4 linked regions of the Saccharomyces cerevisiae S288C genome follow. Changing the gene in region 3 together with the main gene of any one other region gives a genetic interaction. Each region holds a gene or a part of one and is shown on either strand. Other genes may lie near its edges. The genes, in order: COX23, SFL1, STL1 and SGT2.

Region 1 (4,857 bases), on a different chromosome or scaffold from region 3:
AGAAGCGGGAGAACGAAACAAAATAAGGCAGTTGGAAAACCGCAATCAGAATTGAAGACGGCAAAAGCCCTGAGGAAAAGGGGCAGAATACCAAATTCTTTGTTAGTAAAGAAGTATTGCAAAATGACTACTGAAGAAATAATACGGCTTTGCAACGATTTTGAATTACCAAGAGAAGTAGCATATAAAATTGTGGATGAGTACAACATAAACGCGTCAAGATTGGTTTGCCCATGGCAATTAGTGTGTGGGTTAGTATTAAATTGTACATTCATTGTATTTAATGAAAGAAGACGCAAGGATCCAAGAATTGACCATTTTATAGTCAGTAAGATGTGCAGCTTGATGTTGACGTCAAAAGTGGATGATGTTATTGAATGTGTAAAATTAGTGAAGGAATTAATTATCGGTGAAAAATGGTTCAGAGATTTGCAAATTAGGTATGATGATTTTGATGGCATCAGATACGATGAAATTATATTTAGGAAACTGGGATCGATGTTACAAACCACCAATATTTTGGTCACAGACGACCAGTACAATATTTGGAAGAAAAGAATTGAAATGGATTTGGCATTAACAGAACCTTTATAACATATCCAGTATTAACTAAAAGTATATATTTGACCAATACCTGACATATCTTCTAAAGCATGCCTTTAGCCCTATAACGAGCTAATGTTAGCTCCATCTTTGCACTTATGATTGGATCAGCCCTCAAACGCTTTTGTATCTTTGCAGCTTCCGCGAAGGTAGTAGCTTGAAGTTTTTCATCCATAGTTCTTGCTAAAATTGCAGAATCTTCAAACAATTCTATGGCCTCGTCAATTTTTTCCATTTGTAATTTTAGTTGTGCTAACCCGATCTTCGCTTGTTCAGATCGTGGATCTAATTCACAGGCTTTTGTCAGCAGCTTAATGGCTGCGTTGAATTTCTCTTCATCCAACTGGGTTGGATCTTGAGAGGATTGTCTAGCTAATATAGTTGCTTTCCCAATCAAGGGTCCTATACCCACATGTATTTTTTCTTGCACTTCTTCCAACCTTTTAGCAATATCATATTGTTTAATTGCAGTATCAAAATCGCCCCTATCTGTCAAGATTTCAGCGAAAAAGGTGGGCACCTCAGGTAAGGTAGGAAACTTCAACTTTGTTTCATTGAAAAAAGCTTCAGATTCGGTAAATTTACCTTGCTTGTACAACAAACAGGCTAATTGAATGTAGGGATAAACATTTTCAGGGTTCAAGCTTTGGGCCTTTTGGAAATCTTCCTTGGCATTTTTATAATCTTGTAGAATAAAATACATCTGCCCACGGTGGTAATAGGTTGGCGGATACTCAGGGTTTAGATCAACAGCTTTTTGGAAAAATTTGAAAAATTCTTGAGAGTTTTCTTTATCGGCCAAGGTCAATGCCAAAAATATGTACGAATTTGGTGTTGGATGCAGGTTTATAGATTCTTGTAAAAGAACTTGGGCATCTAACAGGTTATTTTTTAAGAAATGGAAAATACCCGTGTAGCACAATGCCAAGGCAGCATTCTCTCTTAAAGGATCGTCCACTGTATTTGCAGAAAGTAGAGAGTGGTACATGTCAGTGGACTTTGTTAAAAGATCGTTTGCTACTAAGTAACCTTCATCTGTTGCAGAATATAGTCTTTGCAAAGCATCTGACAATAGAGCGTATGCAGTATCGTAGTTTGAACTGGTGTTCACACTAGAAACTTCTAAGTGAGAGTCAAAAATCCCAAAAAATGACGCCAGAGATGTGTTAGACGGCAAAACCTGCGAGCCTCTGCCTTCATCCTTCGATAGGTTTTCATTTAGTACTTTCATTGCTTGCTTATTTAAATTTCTTTCCAGCATAGGTTCAATGGAGGCTCCATCAAAGTCACCATTCAATGACAAAACAGATAGATCAAACATAGCATCAGTGAAGTTGCCCAGTGACTCGTTGGCAGATGCACGTCTCAGCAAGGCTTTAGAATGGTCAGGTTTTATCTCAAGTGCCTTTGTAGTGAACTCTATAACCTTCTCTAAGTCGCCCGTAGAAATGTAACAAGCAGATATGTTGGAATAGAACACTGGTTCATTCGGGTCCAGCTCAATGGCATACTGGTAGTATTTGATGGCCTCATTAAAATTCTTAGCAGTGAAGAAGTGGTTACCTCTGTTCTTCAGTTGCACGGCATACGCTTGTCTCTGGGAGGGTGATAGGCCTTTCAATTGGGCAATATCAGGCTCGCCATTGGGCAAGGAGGGATAGTCAAACCCTTCTCCCGATTTTGCCTTATTGTTCCTCTTGCGTTTATTCTTCTTCTTCTTCCTCTTATTACTTCCACTTACGACGCTGCCGTCGTCCTTTAAGTCCGCCTCGTCTTCATTTTGACCAGCAAAGGCCTCACTTTGACGTCGGTTGTCTTTTGTACCCTTCAATTGCTGCTGTTGCTGCTGCTTAATTTGCTGGTAGTAAACATAAGCACCCACAGCAGCAGTCCCCGCAGAGACCGTTGCTAGGATGGCCACTTTGTTCTTGGTGATAAACCTCAGGAGGGAGTTTTCGGCCATAAGAGCTTCTTATGTTCGGTATATACAAGTATGTAGAGATATATACAAAAAATTCTTTATTCGCACTTTGAAAATCCAATTTAGCTTGCTTATTTACATACCATTGCGAATTAGTTTTTCACATTGCACTAGAGTGTGCTGTGGCTGCCTGTCGGAACACTACGTCGCGTAGTGGCGATCTATATAGAAAACAGATCACAGCTGAACAAACAAGAAGAAAAGGCTGCCTCATTCCCACTGCTGTCTGTTTTTCCTCCTGGCTGTCAGCCATTGTTTCTTGCATTCGCGGTATGCGTCAAAATATTCTTGGCACTTGGATCGGTCGTAATCGTTGCGCTCGAGGCACTGAAAACTGAGCTTGGAGGACTCCTCACAAGGATCATAGTACTGACTGTCAGCCTTTAACGCGAATTTATACTTATTGACCGGGTTCTCCGGGTCGTCTGGGTAGTATTGAAATGACGACGGATCGTCGCTCTTTGGTACATAGTTGACTTTGGTTCTGTCCGTTACGGGTCCACTGGCCGCTGGTGGCGTGGAAGACGAAGATGGTTGTGAATTGTTGCTGCTTGTAGAGCCACTGTTGGTATTTGTGGTATCCCTATTATCGTTGGTCATGGTCATACCGTTGGAGATAGTGGAGAGACTACTAGTTTGCCGCCTGGTGGGGCTGGGCTTCTCCATTCTCTTTAAGCGCTCTCGTGAGAGAATATCACTGTTTACGGCCCACAAAGAGAATGAGAAAATTGATAAACCTTAGCATTGGGATCAGCAGGAGCCTTAGAATTCTGGGTGTGAACAGAAACACATTAGTGCATTAGTGTATAGGTTCGATATTATTCAAAGAGGAACTCGGTGTACGGCTCAACTGTAAACCGTACTTCTCGTTCTTTGTTCACTGCCCTGTTTCTGACTCTTGTGCCGTGAGCTTTTCTTCTTACAGTGTCGATTTCCTGTGCACATACGTTCTGTATAGTGGTTATTCCTGGATGTCTACTAATACTGTTCCCTCATCTCCCCCAAACCAGACGCCACCTGCTGCTTCTGGCATCGCTACCTCTCACGATCACACCAAGTTCAACAATCCCATCAGACTACCGATATCCATCTCTCTCACCATTAACGATACGCCTAACAATAACAGCAATAATAATAGCGTTAGCAATGGTTTAGGTATTTTGCCCTCGCGTACGGCTACTTCTTTAGTCGTTGCAAATAACGGTAGCGCAAACGGCAATGTTGGTGCTACTGCTGCTGCTGCTGCCACTGTGGAGACGAATACAGCCCCCGCGGTGAACACTACAAAGAGTATCCGCCATTTCATATATCCTCCAAACCAAGTCAATCAGACGGAGTTTTCACTTGATATACATCTCCCACCAAATACCTCGCTACCGGAACGGATAGACCAATCTACTTTGAAACGCAGAATGGACAAGCACGGGCTTTTCAGCATTAGGCTAACCCCGTTTATAGATACTTCATCCACGTCTGTGGCTAACCAGGGTCTTTTCTTTGACCCCATTATCAGGACTGCGGGCGCAGGCTCGCAAATTATCATCGGAAGATACACCGAAAGAGTAAGAGAGGCAATTTCCAAAATTCCAGATCAGTATCATCCCGTAGTGTTCAAATCAAAAGTGATATCCAGGACCCATGGGTGTTTCAAAGTTGATGACCAAGGAAACTGGTTTTTGAAAGATGTCAAGTCTTCCAGTGGGACCTTTTTGAACCACCAGCGTCTATCTTCTGCGTCTACCACTTCTAAGGACTACCTTTTACATGACGGAGATATCATACAGCTGGGTATGGACTTTCGCGGCGGGACGGAAGAGATATATCGTTGTGTTAAGATGAAAATAGAATTGAACAAGTCTTGGAAATTAAAGGCCAATGCATTTAATAAAGAAGCCTTGAGCCGAATAAAAAATCTACAGAAACTAACTACTGGTTTAGAACAAGAAGACTGTTCCATTTGTCTAAACAAAATAAAACCTTGCCAAGCCATTTTTATATCACCATGTGCCCATAGTTGGCATTTTCATTGTGTAAGAAGATTGGTTATTATGAATTATCCTCAATTCATGTGTCCGAACTGTAGGACAAACTGTGATTTGGAGACTACCTTGGAATCCGAATCTGAATCCGAATTCGAAAACGAGGACGAAGATGAGCCAGACATTGAAATGGATATAGACATGGAAATAAATAACAATTTAGGTGTTCGCCTAGTAGATTGATCACATGAAATTTTGTGCTATATATATATATATATATATATATATATATAA
Region 2 (6,851 bases), on a different chromosome or scaffold from region 3:
TTATCATCATCATTAAGGATATACTTACACCATATGCCGCTCCCCTTGTATACCCACTCCTCACCGAACACAGCTATGTTATCTGTATCAACGGATATGCCGAAAAGCAGCTTCCACCATGACGAAGTAGGCTTTTCTCGTAGATACACATGATTGTGAAAGACAGAACTGTCGCTCGATTTCACCAACTTATTAATGTCTCTCAGCACTTGTAGGGGTATTAGTGCTGAGTCCCTTGCTATGGCTAGTTCTTTTATTGTGTTTTTTGGATTACTTTGGAAATCTTTCAGATGAACATATAAGTAACTGTTGTAGAATGGTCCAGACTGAAGTGAATACAATGTCTCTACAGTAATATTCTTAGAAACTCTGGTCCACAGAATGCTGTTTTTGTCTTTGATCTTTTTAGCAGTATTGGAGGGGTGTAATTTCGGGGCATACAAAGAACTACATTGCCTGTACCAATGGTAGCACCGCAGGATTTGAATATCGTCTATCATTCCGCCATGATATTCTGCTACATTATGATCCATTAATACATTTTTTGCATGTAGCTTTAGTGAATCTCTCGATAAATACAATGAAGTAATGCATAATATAAAAAGTATTCTCCTTAAAAAATTAAATCTTCTTCTATAATGTAATCTCATGCAAATATTTGAAGGGTATTGTTTGCGAAGGTCAATGAATGTGATAAGAGCTAATTGTTGGAAAGTAAAATAATCGAAAGGAATGAGAAAAAGGTAAGTTATTTAAATCTCTTTTGGAAATGAAACTAAAGCAACTTGAAAGAAATTTCAAGAAATAATGAAAACCTCGAATTAATCGACAAATGAAGAGTACTGCAGAACCGAAATTGAAAAAAAAGGTCGTAAAGTTGAAATGAATTGAAGTCAGAATTAAAATAGAAGGGGTATTGTTGCGGCTAAAGTAAAATAAAGAAAGGAGAAGTTAGAAAAAGCAACTCAATGATCTTGTGTTCGAGGCTATATTATAATAAGTTTAGGACTTGGCATTATTTCAGATCAAAAGTATAAAAATTAAAACTGTCCTTTATCTGTCAACCTTTTTATTTTTGTTTGATCCTTAGAGTCTAATTTATGTCCGTAAATAGAAGTTTTCGGATTGCGGGCGCAGTTAGCCTCCAAGCGGAGTTTCTATAGTATTGAAAACGTAAACTAGTAACATATATGCGGTTCAAAATTACTAGAGAAAATGAGATCATAGTTTAAAGAGACATACGTTATTTATCTGGCGGAAAGTGTATAGAAATCTATCTAATTATCAGAATCGATGTCATCGTCATTGTCATTATCGTTACCATTGTTAATATTGTTGGTGGCTTGTTCAGGATCTCCCATACCATCGAAAAATTGCGAACGCAATGTTTTTAATGAATTTTGGTCATCCTCAGCAAATTTTAAGCACCCGCTATTGCTTTTCAACGCTTCCGCGACTACTTCTTCCGTGGGAATTTTACCCTCTTCACAGTATATGAACATCAGCGGAGTTTCACTTGCGTACTTCGTGCCATGCTTGATGGCTTCTTGAACGACAGAAGGCGACGAACATTTTTTCACCTTGAATTCTGTTCCCAACGTATTACTTTGTATCCATGACCATGCACCGTTTCTGCTTCTGATAAAGTATGAATATGGCGATAGTGCTGCCATTGTGAGGATGTAGGGATTTTCGATCAGTCCCAATTGCTTTGCAGTGTTGATTATGTGTGTCTCTGGATGTGAAAGGTTCCATTCTCCATGCAGTTTGGACGCCAAGTCCTTATATTCCTCCATTTTAGCGGCTCTCGCAGAATTTAATGTATCTTTCAACGATGCGATCTGCTTTGCTGCTTCATTATTAGCATCGTCAGGAATTGTTTGTAGATACGCCAGCGTCGACTCTAGAATAGTGGATATGTTTTTGCCTTGGTAACTCTTTAACTCGTTGATCTCTTGAAGCAAGCATCTGGATCTGGTCCGCGCTTGCTTTCGTTTAGAAATAATATGTCTTATTAGTTGGTCTTTGCACTGTTTGGTGTAAAGCTGTGGGTAAAACTCAAGCGGTATATCCACGCCATTGGGTAGAGACACTGATTCTGTATTTGTTTCTAGTTCATTGAACAGGATTGTTAATACGGGTGCCACCTCCTTCAAAGTATTCTCCGGTTCCACATATCTCGCCTCTTCTTGCTCGCCACCACGAATCACGTCTTCTTCTTCTTCCTCTTCTTCGGGGTACAATAAAACGTTGAACATTTTATATAGATTAGAATCGTACTCTTCAGGAAGAAAATGAAACAAGGACAAAAACGTCTCCATTGGAGGTTCATTCTTGTTCGGAGTATGCAAAGCAGAAGATATAAAGAGACTTCTTGTTTCCCGGTCTCTGATCCCAGGACACATTTCCAAATCCACTGCCAATGATTTGATAAACGCTGGGAGCACCTCATAAAGATGCTCGGAATCGGCCAGCTTGGACCTCAATTGCGGTTCCAAGGACGACGTAAACACCTTGGCCGAAACAAAGGCTCTTTCACACTTTCGCGTGTTAACCACGGAGATGAGTTTTTGCAACTGCCAGAGCAGATGCGGTTGCAACCCTTCATTAGGTCCGCTGGCCAGCACGATCTCCGACGTAGTGGAACCATCTTCTGCCTCGCAATATGCAAGTCTGTATTTGGGCTCCGTAAACGATGAGCCCTTGAACCAGTCTGCCCTATAGTTCAAATCCTTAAAGTCCGGTTTCAAGAACACGTGTGGGAAATACACGGCCGTGAGCAACGCAAACAGCCCAAAATAGCTCTCAATTAGACTATTCAAGGGTAGCGGCAACACAACCGTAGGATCGCCCACGTTCGACTTGAACTCGTTGTGTTGTACTATACTATAAGAGGGGGGAGGAATGGATGTCTCCGATATAGAATAACGATCGTAGTTCTGAGCAGTAACCCTGCATCCGCTGGTGCTATTAGAACCGCTGCGTTCATCCGTGATGTCTTCATCGTCATCATAATCAACATCGACACCACTCACATCCGGCATATCAATGTCTTGGTCCCCGTTGTTCGGAACATCGCAGGGCTTGGTTCCAGCCACTATTTTGTTCTCAGAAATCCTAGGCTGACTGCCATCATTCTCCTCACCCATTTCCGCTTGCTCCGGCAGCTCGTTCGAAAAGATGAAGTTAACTGCTGCCTCCAAATTACCGCCAGTTCTTTGGAGGGCGTCCACAGCTACTTCGTGTGGAATACCCATTTCTAGCAGTGACTTTACAGCCTGATTATCCATCATCGTAGCTTACTTAACAAAAATCAATTACTTAAGATTCCTTTTACAGGTGACGACTCTCCTTTTCCGGCTTCTTCTCTTCTTTCCTCTACTCCGACAGGTCCTTAAGCCTTGTAGTGAGAAGTACCTTTCAACAATAGTATCTTTTACTTCCGTGCCGGGTCGCCCGGACATCACCCGCCCGGCACAGATGCCTTGGCAGCAAGCGCATCCATCGCTGCATCTCCGCCGGAAAAACAGATGTTCAGTACATGAAAAGACGTTTTTATTCGACATAAACTTTTTCAGCTAGCAAGAAGGATCTCTTTTTAAACACTCTATACAGGTGCACACAAAGGGTTGTTGAAACAGAAACACAAACGCACGGCGAAATAATATTATTTATTCGACTTACGAATTTTTCAAAGAAGTCGTACTGGTGTGAAGTGGAAAGTTTCAAAGATAGTTTGAAAAGCAGGGAAAAAAGAACATAGTGAACCTTCATCGCCACAGTGACAGGTTCAAGGAAAAAATTCACACACACACACATACGCATACGCACACAAAGCACTCAGCTCTATATACATAACAAAGAATATTGTAATTCGACACTATTTGGTACATTCAGAGGGTCCTAAGACAGCACAAATCAGTTATATAGAAAAAAAGAAGAAAAAATCATGAGTGAAGAGGAAACGGTCTCAGCCCCAGCTCCAGCTTCTACACCGGCCCCGGCTGGAACCGATGTAGGTAGTGGTGGAGCAGCAGCTGGAATAGCTAATGCTGGTGCTGAAGGCGGCGACGGTGCCGAGGATGTTAAGAAACATGGGTCGAAGATGCTAGTGGGGCCCAGGCCGCCACAAAATGCGATATTCATCCATAAGCTATACCAGATTCTGGAGGACGAATCGCTACACGACTTGATATGGTGGACCCCTTCGGGCTTATCCTTCATGATTAAGCCTGTGGAACGGTTTAGTAAGGCTTTGGCTACATATTTCAAGCATACTAATATCACGAGCTTTGTAAGACAGTTGAACATTTACGGCTTTCACAAGGTGTCGCATGATCATAGCAGCAACGACGCTAATAGTGGCGACGACGCCAATACTAATGATGACAGCAATACTCACGATGATAATAGTGGCAACAAAAACAGTAGTGGCGACGAAAATACCGGTGGCGGTGTCCAAGAAAAGGAGAAAAGTAACCCCACTAAAATCTGGGAATTTAAGCATAGTTCTGGTATTTTCAAGAAAGGTGACATTGAGGGACTCAAACACATTAAGAGAAGAGCTTCTTCCCGTAATAACTCCTCAATTAACAGTCGAAAGAATTCTAGTAATCAAAACTACGATATAGATTCCGGTGCAAGAGTAAGACCCTCTTCGATTCAAGACCCGTCCACCAGTTCCAATTCCTTTGGTAATTTCGTTCCGCAAATTCCGGGCGCCAATAACTCTATCCCCGAGTACTTTAATAACTCTCATGTAACTTACGAAAACGCAAACCATGCCCCGCTGGAATCCAATAACCCGGAAATGCAAGAGCAAAACAGACCTCCGAACTTTCAAGATGAAACACTGAAACATTTGAAAGAAATAAATTTTGATATGGTTAAGATTATAGAGTCTATGCAGCATTTCATATCTTTGCAACACAGTTTTTGTTCACAGAGTTTCACCTTCAAGAATGTGAGCAAGAAAAAATCGGAAAATATCGTGAAGGATCACCAAAAGCAACTTCAGGCATTCGAAAGCGATATGTTAACTTTCAAACAGCACGTCATGTCGAGGGCCCACCGTACAATAGATTCTCTTTGTGCTGTAAATGCTGCCGCTACCGCTGCCTCTGTCGCCCCTGCACCCGCGCCCACATCCACATCTGCATATGCACCCAAATCTCAGTATGAGATGATGGTTCCTCCAGGGAACCAGTATGTCCCGCAGAAATCTTCCTCGACCACGAACATCCCTTCGAGATTCAACACGGCTTCAGTGCCGCCCTCGCAACTTTTTGTACAATACCAACCGCAGTCGCAACAACATGTGACTTATGCGAAGCAACCGGCACATGTACCAAACTTTATCAATCAGCCGATACCCATCCAACAACTACCTCCACAATATGCAGACACTTTTAGCACTCCACAAATGATGCACAATCCTTTTGCCTCGAAAAATAACAACAAACCGGGCAACACGAAGAGGACCAATAGTGTTCTCATGGACCCGCTGACTCCCGCAGCGAGTGTTGGAGTTCAGGGTCCACTAAACTATCCTATCATGAATATTAATCCTTCTGTCCGTGACTACAACAAGCCTGTCCCTCAAAATATGGCTCCGAGTCCAATATATCCTATTAATGAACCAACAACGAGATTGTATTCTCAACCAAAAATGAGAAGTCTCGGGTCTACAAGCTCTTTGCCCAACGATAGAAGAAACAGTCCTCTGAAGCTGACACCGAGATCATCGTTGAATGAAGATAGTCTGTATCCCAAACCTAGAAACTCTCTCAAATCCAGTATTTCGGGCACGTCTTTATCCTCCTCTTTTACACTAGTTGCCAACAATCCAGCCCCAATTCGGTACTCTCAGCAGGGATTGCTTCGCTCATTAAACAAAGCTGCTAATTGTGCTCCAGATTCGGTAACTCCATTAGACTCGTCTGTCTTGACGGGCCCTCCTCCAAAAAACATGGACAATCTTCCTGCTGTTTCTTCAAATTTAATAAACTCCCCCATGAACGTCGAGCACAGCTCAAGCCTATCACAAGCAGAACCTGCACCACAAATAGAACTACCGCAGCCATCTTTGCCCACAACGAGCACCACTAAGAATACTGGCGAGGCTGACAATAGTAAGAGAAAAGGGAGCGGTGTTTATTCTTTACTGAATCAAGAGGATAGCAGCACGTCCAGTGCTGATCCTAAAACTGAAGATAAGGCCGCTCCGGCACTCAAAAAGGTTAAGATGTGATCTTTGCCTTTTTAATCTCTAGTTGTCTAAAAGTTCAAAGCACCTCACTGTATGTTTATTACCTTTGTTCCAATTACTTTTGTTTCAATTACTTTTGTTTCATTTCATTTTAGGTATCCCAACGGGTAATCATTGTTATTTATTTTATTCACTTTTTTTTCTTTTCCTCCTGATCCTTGTGATTATAACTATATTTTTACCAACTCCGGTAGTTGTTTTATTAAGTTTTCATCACACTAAATTGTATTTTCCACTTTCATTTCCACCTTCCTTTCCCCTACCTCCCTTCAATTCGTATCATAATACCGCCCGTTCTTTCTAGTATATCACAGAATAGCTACGGGGTATTGTCTCATAAACAGAAAAATGCACCTTTCGATAAACTTCCTGTACAATAATTCTATAAGTATATATGTATGTTTGCTATTAAACAACCATCACAAAAAGACACCTTATTCTTTATGGACGCCTTCAAGTTGTGCTCCTATTCTGTAGTTGTTGCACCATGCATGTTACCATCATAGCCGTCTAAGCGGGACTATTTCCTTTTGTTAACACCTATACTAATTAAACAGCTGGGGAAATTTTTATTCTATGCTTC
Region 3 (5,381 bases):
TATTTCTGAGGCAACACCAAAGAAGGGTCCGAGAGTTCTTAGGCAGTAAAAAAGTTACACAGCCTCAGAAGACAGGGATCATGCAGTAAAAAAAAAAGCTCGATAATTTCATCGATCAATTGACCAGCCAATTTATTCTTATACCCTTATTTCTACCGATATAAACAGTTGGATAAACGGACAGGTTGAAGTGCAACGTTATTCAATGGTGACAGTTGCTTCTGGACTAAGAAAGGCTAGACCATGTGCCAGAAGTGCAGAAAAATGAAAGCAGAGAGCAAATAAAAAAACTCGACAAACATCGGAATATCAACCAGACAATAGCAAGTGGACACAATGAAATAAAAATCTCACAGGCAAAAACGCACTTAAGGTGACGTAGATGCGTCCATCATTTAAACACGATACCAACATTATCTGATGTTTCAATGTTGAAAACTGACATTCAAATATTCCGCAACCAGCGGACGAACTGAAGGAGCAGGCGACTACAATGCGCAGGGCGATTGGCGCGGTAACTTTGCCATGATCAAATATTTGTGTAGCGCTTTGTTCACTATCGAACTTTCTAAATGAGTTAAGGAAGAGAAGAAAAACAATATGATACCGCAAATACGTATTCTCACCTAAAATGGCAAGGCAAAGCTTCGCCGAGGAATTCAGCCCGAGAGTAGAAAATTTACTAATGTGGTCTCGCGTGTGAATCAGCAATGATTCTGAAATACTCCTTTTACAACCTTTGCAAAGATAATGTCTTTCAGTCTGATATTACGAGCGACCTAGAACCACTAATCCATATTCTTCATTCAACTTACTCCATTTTCCTTGGCAAACAATGCCCCACAATCATATACGTCATAACTATAAGGGATATGTCTGGAATGCGGCCAAGATAGAATTAAAGGGCTGCAGAACACCACTACTGATACTCATTGCCAAGGCTAGGAGGCACCATCCGTTTCATTTTCTTTGAGGTAAGCCAATCATGAAATAGTATACACATCCATAACGGACGTACGGACGAAATAAGTGCCGTTGTCCCACTATTCCACCGCATTTGGCCCATTTGGCTCACTTTGACTCAACTTGCGTCATTTTAACTGATATGAAGGGTCCGACTTTGTCCTTTTTCGGCCACCGCATACCCCACGGCGATGCCTCCGCTACCTGCATTTGAGTAGCATCTCCGTTTCGCGGGGTATTCGGCGCTACGTCGCCTGTTCGAGCGGCTCTGTTCGTTGCATGAAACTAAAATAAGCGGAAAGTGTCCAGCCATCCACTACGTCAGAAAGAAATAATGGTTGTACACTGTTTCTCGGCTATATACCGTTTTTGGTTGGTTAATCCTCGCCAGGTGCAGCTATTGCGCTTGGCTGCTTCGCGATAGTAGTAATCTGAGAAAGTGCAGATCCCGGTAAGGGAAACACTTTTGGTTCACCTTTGATAGGGCTTTCATTGGGGCATTCGTAACAAAAAGGAAGTAGATAGAGAAATTGAGAAAGCTTAAGTGAGATGTTTTAGCTTCAATTTTGTCCCCTTCAACGCTGCTTGGCCTTAGAGGGTCAGAATTGCAGTTCAGGAGTAGTCACACTCATAGTATATAAACAAGCCCTTTATTGATTTTGAATAATTATTTTGTATACGTGTTCTAGCATACAAGTTAGAATAAATAAAAAATAGAAAAATAGAACATAGAAAGTTTTAGACCATGAAGGATTTAAAATTATCGAATTTCAAAGGCAAATTTATAAGCAGAACCAGTCACTGGGGACTTACGGGTAAGAAGTTGCGGTATTTCATCACTATCGCATCTATGACGGGCTTCTCCCTGTTTGGATACGACCAAGGGTTGATGGCAAGTCTAATTACTGGTAAACAGTTCAACTATGAATTTCCAGCAACCAAAGAAAATGGCGATCATGACAGACACGCAACTGTAGTGCAGGGCGCTACAACCTCCTGTTATGAATTAGGTTGTTTCGCAGGTTCTCTATTCGTTATGTTCTGCGGTGAAAGAATTGGTAGAAAACCATTAATCCTGATGGGTTCCGTAATAACCATCATTGGTGCCGTTATTTCTACATGCGCATTTCGTGGTTACTGGGCATTAGGCCAGTTTATCATCGGAAGAGTCGTCACCGGTGTTGGAACAGGGTTGAATACATCTACTATTCCCGTTTGGCAATCAGAAATGTCAAAAGCTGAAAATAGAGGGTTGCTGGTCAATTTAGAAGGTTCCACAATTGCTTTTGGTACTATGATTGCTTATTGGATTGATTTTGGGTTGTCTTATACCAACAGTTCTGTTCAGTGGAGATTCCCCGTGTCAATGCAAATCGTTTTTGCTCTCTTCCTGCTTGCTTTCATGATTAAACTACCTGAATCGCCACGTTGGCTGATTTCTCAAAGTCGAACAGAAGAAGCTCGCTACTTGGTAGGAACACTAGACGACGCGGATCCAAATGATGAGGAAGTTATAACAGAAGTTGCTATGCTTCACGATGCTGTTAACAGGACCAAACACGAGAAACATTCACTGTCAAGTTTGTTCTCCAGAGGCAGGTCCCAAAATCTTCAGAGGGCTTTGATTGCAGCTTCAACGCAATTTTTCCAGCAATTTACTGGTTGTAACGCTGCCATATACTACTCTACTGTATTATTCAACAAAACAATTAAATTAGACTATAGATTATCAATGATCATAGGTGGGGTCTTCGCAACAATCTACGCCTTATCTACTATTGGTTCATTTTTTCTAATTGAAAAGCTAGGTAGACGTAAGCTGTTTTTATTAGGTGCCACAGGTCAAGCAGTTTCATTCACAATTACATTTGCATGCTTGGTCAAAGAAAATAAAGAAAACGCAAGAGGTGCTGCCGTCGGCTTATTTTTGTTCATTACATTCTTTGGTTTGTCTTTGCTATCATTACCATGGATATACCCACCAGAAATTGCATCAATGAAAGTTCGTGCATCAACAAACGCTTTCTCCACATGTACTAATTGGTTGTGTAACTTTGCGGTTGTCATGTTCACCCCAATATTTATTGGACAGTCCGGTTGGGGTTGCTACTTATTTTTTGCTGTTATGAATTATTTATACATTCCAGTTATCTTCTTTTTCTACCCTGAAACCGCCGGAAGAAGTTTGGAGGAAATCGACATCATCTTTGCTAAAGCATACGAGGATGGCACTCAACCATGGAGAGTTGCTAACCATTTGCCCAAGTTATCCCTACAAGAAGTCGAAGATCATGCCAATGCATTGGGCTCTTATGACGACGAAATGGAAAAAGAGGACTTTGGTGAAGATAGAGTAGAAGACACCTATAACCAAATTAACGGCGATAATTCGTCTAGTTCTTCAAACATCAAAAATGAAGATACAGTGAACGATAAAGCAAATTTTGAGGGTTGATTCACACACAACTCACAAATCATATTTTGTAATTTACTTAAGAAAGCATTTTGCGGGGTTTATATTTGTTCCTTGCCGCACCAATAATATTCATATATTACTACATAACTTTAGTATTTTAACACCAGACGATCTGTCTTTTGAGGAAATATGTCCACTTTCATTTTCTTCCGCTTGCCGGCAATGCCTATAAAAAGCTTATAAAATAGCCCGACTCCGTAGTCTTAATATTTATTTAAGTACAATAATAGTCCCACAAAAATTTTTAAAACATCTTTATTGATAACGTGGACGTGTTATTACATTGGAGCGAATGATGACGGAAGTAGGAAAATCTGAATACTAAGGTGAAGATATTTTAGCAGGGTGCCGCCATGGATGTTCTATGAATGTCTTCCTTCCTTTTCTCTCATGGGACACCGCAAAAACCTGTTCTACCATCATTTAACTGCAACATACAAAAAGCCACCAACTTTCGAACACTGCAAATGGTGCTATTCTCTTTTTGCGGTCTTGCCATGATATTCTTCTTGCAAAAAGGGTTTTAGAGCAAGATTTCAAATTAGCCATGAATATCATGCATCGCTTAGAGCAGTAAGATTTTACCAGAGCTTTACAGGACCTATTTTTCATACGTTATGCACTTCATTCTTCTTGTCGGTTTGATAACAGCAGAATCTAGTTCCTTTAATTTGAACGTTAGCCCGGCAGAAGCCATACCTCGAAAACGCAGCAGCGCTTCATAGGCATATCAAAAACAGGGCAAGGGACACCATACATCACCTAGTGCTGTTACTTATAACCAACTTGACAACGATTGCACAAGAAAAGAGTATATCTGTGAAGACAGCCAAAACGCTTAACATGTTATGACATAAATTGCAGACAAGAAATTGGATGTATTTTACAGACTTTGCATTCCTGTCTGAAAGCCTTTTTACATAAAAATGGTTTCATTAGTAGCACTTCGTATCGTTTTCAAATAATGATGAGATGCTCCAAAAGGAAAGTTGGCACAGAAAAAATGACGCGCCTTTCCTGTTTACCGTTAAACTTCTCAGAAAAAGTATACTCGACCCATTTTTAAGATTGGTGATGGATAGAATTTCATTTAACATAATGCTGCAAATATAGATTGATTTCAATCTACGGAGTCCAACGCATTGAGCAGCTTCAATTGAGTAGATATGCTCCTATTTCCAAGAAGAACTAATATAGCCTTTTTCAAAACAACAGGCATTTTTGCTAATTTTCCTTTGCTAGGTAGAACCATTACAACTTCACCATCTTTCCTTACACATAAACTGTCAAAGGAAGTAACCAGGGCATCAACTTCGCCTCCAAGACCAAAGAGAATTGTTGTCGCAATTACTGGTGCGACTGGTGTTGCACTGGGAATCAGACTTCTACAAGTGCTAAAAGAGTTGAGCGTAGAAACCCATTTGGTGATTTCAAAATGGGGTGCAGCAACAATGAAATATGAAACAGATTGGGAACCGCATGACGTGGCGGCCTTGGCAACCAAGACATACTCTGTTCGTGATGTTTCTGCATGCATTTCGTCCGGATCTTTCCAGCATGATGGTATGATTGTTGTGCCCTGTTCCATGAAATCACTAGCTGCTATTAGAATCGGTTTTACAGAGGATTTAATTACAAGAGCTGCCGATGTTTCGATTAAAGAGAATCGTAAGTTACTACTGGTTACTCGGGAAACCCCTTTATCTTCCATCCATCTTGAAAACATGTTGTCTTTATGCAGGGCAGGTGTTATAATTTTTCCTCCGGTACCTGCGTTTTATACAAGACCCAAGAGCCTTCATGACCTATTAGAACAAAGTGTTGGCAGGATCCTAGACTGCTTTGGCATCCACGCTGACACTTTTCCTCGTTGGGAAGGAATAAAAAGCAAGTAACACTTTTTCTGAGCATTTTATTACGTTACTCAACTACTAATAGAGTT
Region 4 (4,639 bases), on a different chromosome or scaffold from region 3:
ATGAAACCGATATTATTGATCTATACTCGGCGAATCTTACGATTTATATCACAATGTTACATGTACAACGTACGTAGTTACTAAACACTGATTTCAGCCTATTTAATCACCTATCGAATTAAATTGCCTAAGGGGTCATAACTTAAAGGCTCTCCATTTTCTTTTGAACCACTTTCCTCGTCTTCTGATTCCTCAGATTGCGCTTCCCTGCTTTTCATGTTATCTATACGAATAGCATTACCTAAAGAGTCATATTCAATACATTGATTATTGCCTTCCAAATCAGATTGTTCTGAGTTTTCCTCACTCTCTGATGTGTCAGATTGCGAACCATTACCCCTTCTATTTATGTTACCCATCATCCATATATCTTCTTCTTTAGCTCGGGATTTTCGTTCTTGAGTTTCCTTTTCTAATTTTTGCAACCATTCCTCTTCAGCCCTCTTTACAGAGTCGCAGTCAGTGCACTGCTGATAGATTTCAAGCAATTCTTTGTTTAATTCTAAAAATCCCATTCCCCACGAGAAGTGTGATAACAATTCACTGGCCCAATCCATTCTCCCGACGATAGCAAAACAAGCCGCTAATGCCTCAACGCAATTGAGCCTCCATGGTCTCCCGTAATTTACTTGATTAGCGGCCACTAAATACGGCAGCAGCCTTTCGTGCTTACCGCCTATTTTATTGAAGGGTACCTCTTCTAAACGTGCCCAAGAACACTCGACCACCGAAGCGCCGTGTTGTTCGACAATTTCTAGATCATCAGGGCAAACAACACCTTTGCCGTTTGGCGAAACGACAATACCTTGAAATTTCTGTCCAACTCTCAATGATTTAATTAAGCCCAACCTTTCAAGTTTTTTACCACTGCATCTCTTTGGATCGCAATGATCAAAATCCCACATAGCCAGTTTAACAGGAAACTTCATTTTTTCTGAATTATCGTACTTCATTTCCATGCGCCTATGGTTTTGCCTGGAACTGTGCCCATTAGCGCCTCTCTGTGGTCTTCCATTTTTGGGTTCGTGCATCTTATTTTTACCTTTTCCCATTGTTACTGCTTACTCAACTGTCTTACGCGAGAAGTTCTATACAGATTTACATAAAAAGCTTTTCGATAAAGTATTTCAAATAGACATTTACTAGTAAAAATTTTTTTATGTAGTTTCTCATCACATTATATTTTCTAGTCTTCTCCGAAAATCGACGAATTTACCTGAAAAAAAGAAAAAGTAAACTACAGTCCCTATTTAAGTATTTCGCAAGTGATCTCAAAGTAAAAATAAAATTCCTGGTAACACTCATCCTAGATAGAGCTATATTTGTATCTACATAACATGTATTGCATTAAAGGCTTATTTCAGTCCACTATTGCTTGTTCTCATTGTCTGGTGTTTCATCTGTAGATTGGGCACCTGCTCCACCAAAAAGATTGCCTGCCATGTTTCTGAGTGCTGGGTTATTCATCAAGTCAGACAAATTTGGAGTTCCTCCGCCTGAAGCAAAGCCTTCAGCCATCTGTCTGATACTTGGATCTTGCATCATTTTTTGAATATTCTGCATTGCACCTGGATTGCTCATCATTTTTTGCGCAGCCTGCATCAATTGTGGGTTGTTCATTAAACCTCCAAGACCACCTCCTAATAAAGAACCAAGATCTGGCAATCCACCCGCACTAGCACCCTGACTTGCATCGACATCAGCATCCCTTGACTGTTCTGGAACGGTTTTCTCCAGATTCAAAGATTGCTCAACCTTCTTCTTGGCACTTTCATAATCCCTTTTCATAGCTTCTGTTGCATTATCGCCCTCTATATCAAGAACCTTTTTGTATGCTTCAAGGGCTTCTTCGGGTTTACCTTGCGCATATTTAGCAAAACCCAATCTAGAGTAGCCTCTGAAATAAGATGGGTCAATAGAAATTGCAGATTCAGCGTCTTTGACCGCTTGATCATATTCTTTCAGGGATGAATGAGCAGCCGCTCTATTGGCGTAATAAATAGCATTCGTTGGTAAAACTTTAATGGCTTCAGTATATTTATTGATTGCCAGTTCGTAATCCTTGTTGGCCATTGCTTTATTACCTTGCATTTTCAAGTCCTCAGCTTTGGCTTTAGTTTCCGCATCATCTTCTGGAATATTAATCTCGACATTCTCAGCATCGTCTTTCTTATTCGATTCTGGAACTCTTGACGCAGAATTTAATATATCAGCAAGATGTTGACCCTTGAATTCAGACTTGCCTAAAATGCCTGAAACAGCTTCTCTTTCAAAGCCAAAGGCTTCAGAGATACAGTCCATAGCAACATTTAAAGAATCGGCGCCATCTTCTGAAATTTCTTTCTTTTCCACAATGGAAGAAAAGTAGTTTACAATAAGGGCAGCAATTTCTTCTTTTGATGCTGACATCGTACAGTAGATTTGTATTAATAAGATATCACTTGGTCAGAAGCTTCTATTCAGTTGTCCGATTATATCGCTCGTACTCATTTTATATGGTGGCAAAATTTGGGATTAAGCGTAGGGCAATAAAACCTTCTCGGATCTTCCATTTTTTTCGATTGGGAAAATTTTAAGACTTGAAAAAGTTTGGAAAAATACAAAAGAAGGGCTAAGTGTTGTGATTAGAATGTCATGACAATAAGGTTAAAAGCAAATATTATGCCGCCTATAGCCCTTTAAAATAGCATAAAAGACCTTTGTAATTTCTATTCAATGTTAAAAAAAATCTTCCCCGCCAGGACTTGAACCTGGAATCTTCTGGTTCGTAGCCAGACGCCGTGACCATTGGGCCACGAGGAACAGATCTTGAGAAAATTAGAGATATTTATCGATACACGTACTAAAAGCAAATTTCATAGTTTTATTTCCCAATAATGCCCATCATCCATTATTATTATATTCAAATTATTATGCCAGTGTGAAAAAAATGGAATGATCATTCCCATACATATTGATGATTTTCGACATAATTATATGCAATGGTATACGCAATTGTGCAAACATGACAATTTTGTTTTGATTCTTTCATTCCATTTTTTGTAAAGGAATAATATCCCTATATAATATGCCAGAGGTCTTTCCTCGAGGATACAGGAATCCGCAAAATGGAATCAAAATTTTACATCATATATTATAATCACGTCTTCCTCCTTTTTCATGCATTACTACTCACGCATCCTATCACATAATCAATCCTTGCGCTTCAATTTCATTAGATTGAAGAAAATATGAATATAAATTTATTAATCTCCTACTTTATATCGTCTTTCAACGCGGTATTTTTTTAATAATTTCTAGTAAAGTGGTTATTGTCACTAGAAGATAATTAGCTATTAGTTTCATAACAATTTGTTATTTTGAAAATGTATAGTTTTATTAGGTGGTATTCATTTCAAAGAATTAACATGTTTAATGTTTGTTAAATCTATGTAACTAAGTTAAGGTTGGTATTCAAATATATCATAAAAAAATTAATGAGTAGAAAAAAAAATAACTAATCTAATTTTGTTGTTCCTATTTAATGTTCCTCGTTACTTCCAGCTCTCCAGCTCTCAAATTCGAAATGTATGAATTTTTAGAGGATCATCATAATGTGAAAATGGAGATGATTTGGCAAAATGAAATCGGAAAAAGAAAAAATTAATGGGAAGGAACAAGACTTGCTTGGCAATAGTTTAAGAATATAATAATTTTTTTTGGGTTTCTTCAATCAGCTTCGTCTGGATTGACCACTGTTAAAACGTTGTTTTTCCCTCCTGGTCCGCCATTTATGAATGTTCCGTTACTTATTCTCCTTGAGTCGTCGAAAGGGTTAATATCAGTTTGCCCTTTGGTGTGCTCCTCCTCGAAGCTACCTGAAGAGGGCCCGTGATTAGATGAAAATGAAGAGGCGTATAGTTTATCAGGGTACTCAACTGGTTTTATCGCCTCTTGGTATTCCTTTTCCATCCTGTCTTGTTCCCGCTTCATATTAATGTGTCTGACAATCAACAAGATACAAAGAGCAATGGCTACGGCTCCCACTACACCACCTACAACGCCGCCTACAATTGCCCCTACATTGGCTTTCTTTTTATGAGTTTTACTTCCACTCGTAGAGTCAGATCCAGCTGTACCTGTGGCCGATCCTGAATTCTGTGCACTTGCCGTGATGGTGTTCGTGACAAAAATTGTGGAACCGCCCTCAGTGTGAAAAGTAGTGGAATAGATTATCGAAGTGGCGTCCTGTGATTGAGAGCTAGTACTGCTCGTTGCCAAAGTATCCGAAGTTAGCGAGCTTTCTGACGTTACAGTGCTCGAACTCTGTGACGTTGAAATAGAGGCAGCTGCTTGAGTTGACTCGGGGGAATTCTGTACTGTAGAGGAAGACGCCATTGATGATGTAGTTGATGATGTAGTCGATGATGTAGTTGATGTTGTGGAGGACGTTGTTGAAGAAGTTGTGGAAGACGACGCAGAAGTAGACTCCGTACTTGAATCTGAGCTGCTTATGCTATTGCTATTTGTGTCAGAGTCAAGTTGGTACACAGAATAGGCATCTTCACCACCACACATCTCACTGCTGTAACCAAAGCAATACGTATTACATGAAGAGGAAGTAGATTCCGAACCAGATGGATTAGTATCACCACAATAA

Evidence for each region.
Region 1: mutations in STL1 (region 3) and COX23 together harm fitness more than expected from each alone (negative genetic interaction), as found in Saccharomyces cerevisiae (2 studies listed by BioGRID).
Region 2: mutations in STL1 (region 3) and SFL1 together harm fitness more than expected from each alone (negative genetic interaction), as found in Saccharomyces cerevisiae (2 studies listed by BioGRID).
Region 4: mutations in STL1 (region 3) and SGT2 together harm fitness more than expected from each alone (negative genetic interaction), as found in Saccharomyces cerevisiae (2 studies listed by BioGRID).

The regions. Positions count from the first base shown.
Region 1 is NC_001140.6:340,058-344,914, reverse strand, and holds COX23 (Cox23p), read right to left. Parts: upstream 3,251-4,857; coding exon 2,795-3,250; downstream 1-2,794. Other genes in the region: ORC6 (origin recognition complex subunit 6), read left to right, coding at 1-594; protein channel TOM71, read right to left, coding at 647-2,566; ubiquitin-conjugating protein DMA1, read left to right, coding at 3,556-4,806. UniProt on the Saccharomyces cerevisiae protein: Required for the assembly of cytochrome c oxidase.
Region 2 is NC_001147.6:583,032-589,882, forward strand, and holds SFL1 (Sfl1p), read left to right. Parts: upstream 1-3,949; coding exon 3,950-6,250; downstream 6,251-6,851. Other genes in the region: SIA1 (Sia1p), read right to left, coding at 1-650; RUP1 (Rup1p), read right to left, coding at 1,278-3,293. UniProt on the Saccharomyces cerevisiae protein: Involved in cell surface assembly and regulation of the gene related to flocculation (asexual cell aggregation). Mutations in SFL1 causes constitutive cell aggregation.
Region 3 is NC_001136.10:1,506,297-1,511,677, forward strand, and holds STL1 (glucose-inactivated glycerol proton symporter STL1), read left to right. Parts: upstream 1-1,708; coding exon 1,709-3,418; downstream 3,419-5,381. Other genes in the region: phenylacrylic acid decarboxylase PAD1, read left to right, coding at 4,606-5,334.
Region 4 is NC_001147.6:337,570-342,208, forward strand, and holds SGT2 (Sgt2p), read right to left. Parts: upstream 2,410-4,639; coding exon 1,369-2,409; downstream 1-1,368. Other genes in the region: ribosome biogenesis protein TSR3, read right to left, coding at 111-1,052; SLG1 (Slg1p), read right to left, coding at 3,709-4,639. UniProt on the Saccharomyces cerevisiae protein: Co-chaperone that binds to the molecular chaperone Hsp70 (SSA1 and SSA2). Regulates Hsp70 ATPase activity. Required for recovery from heat shock.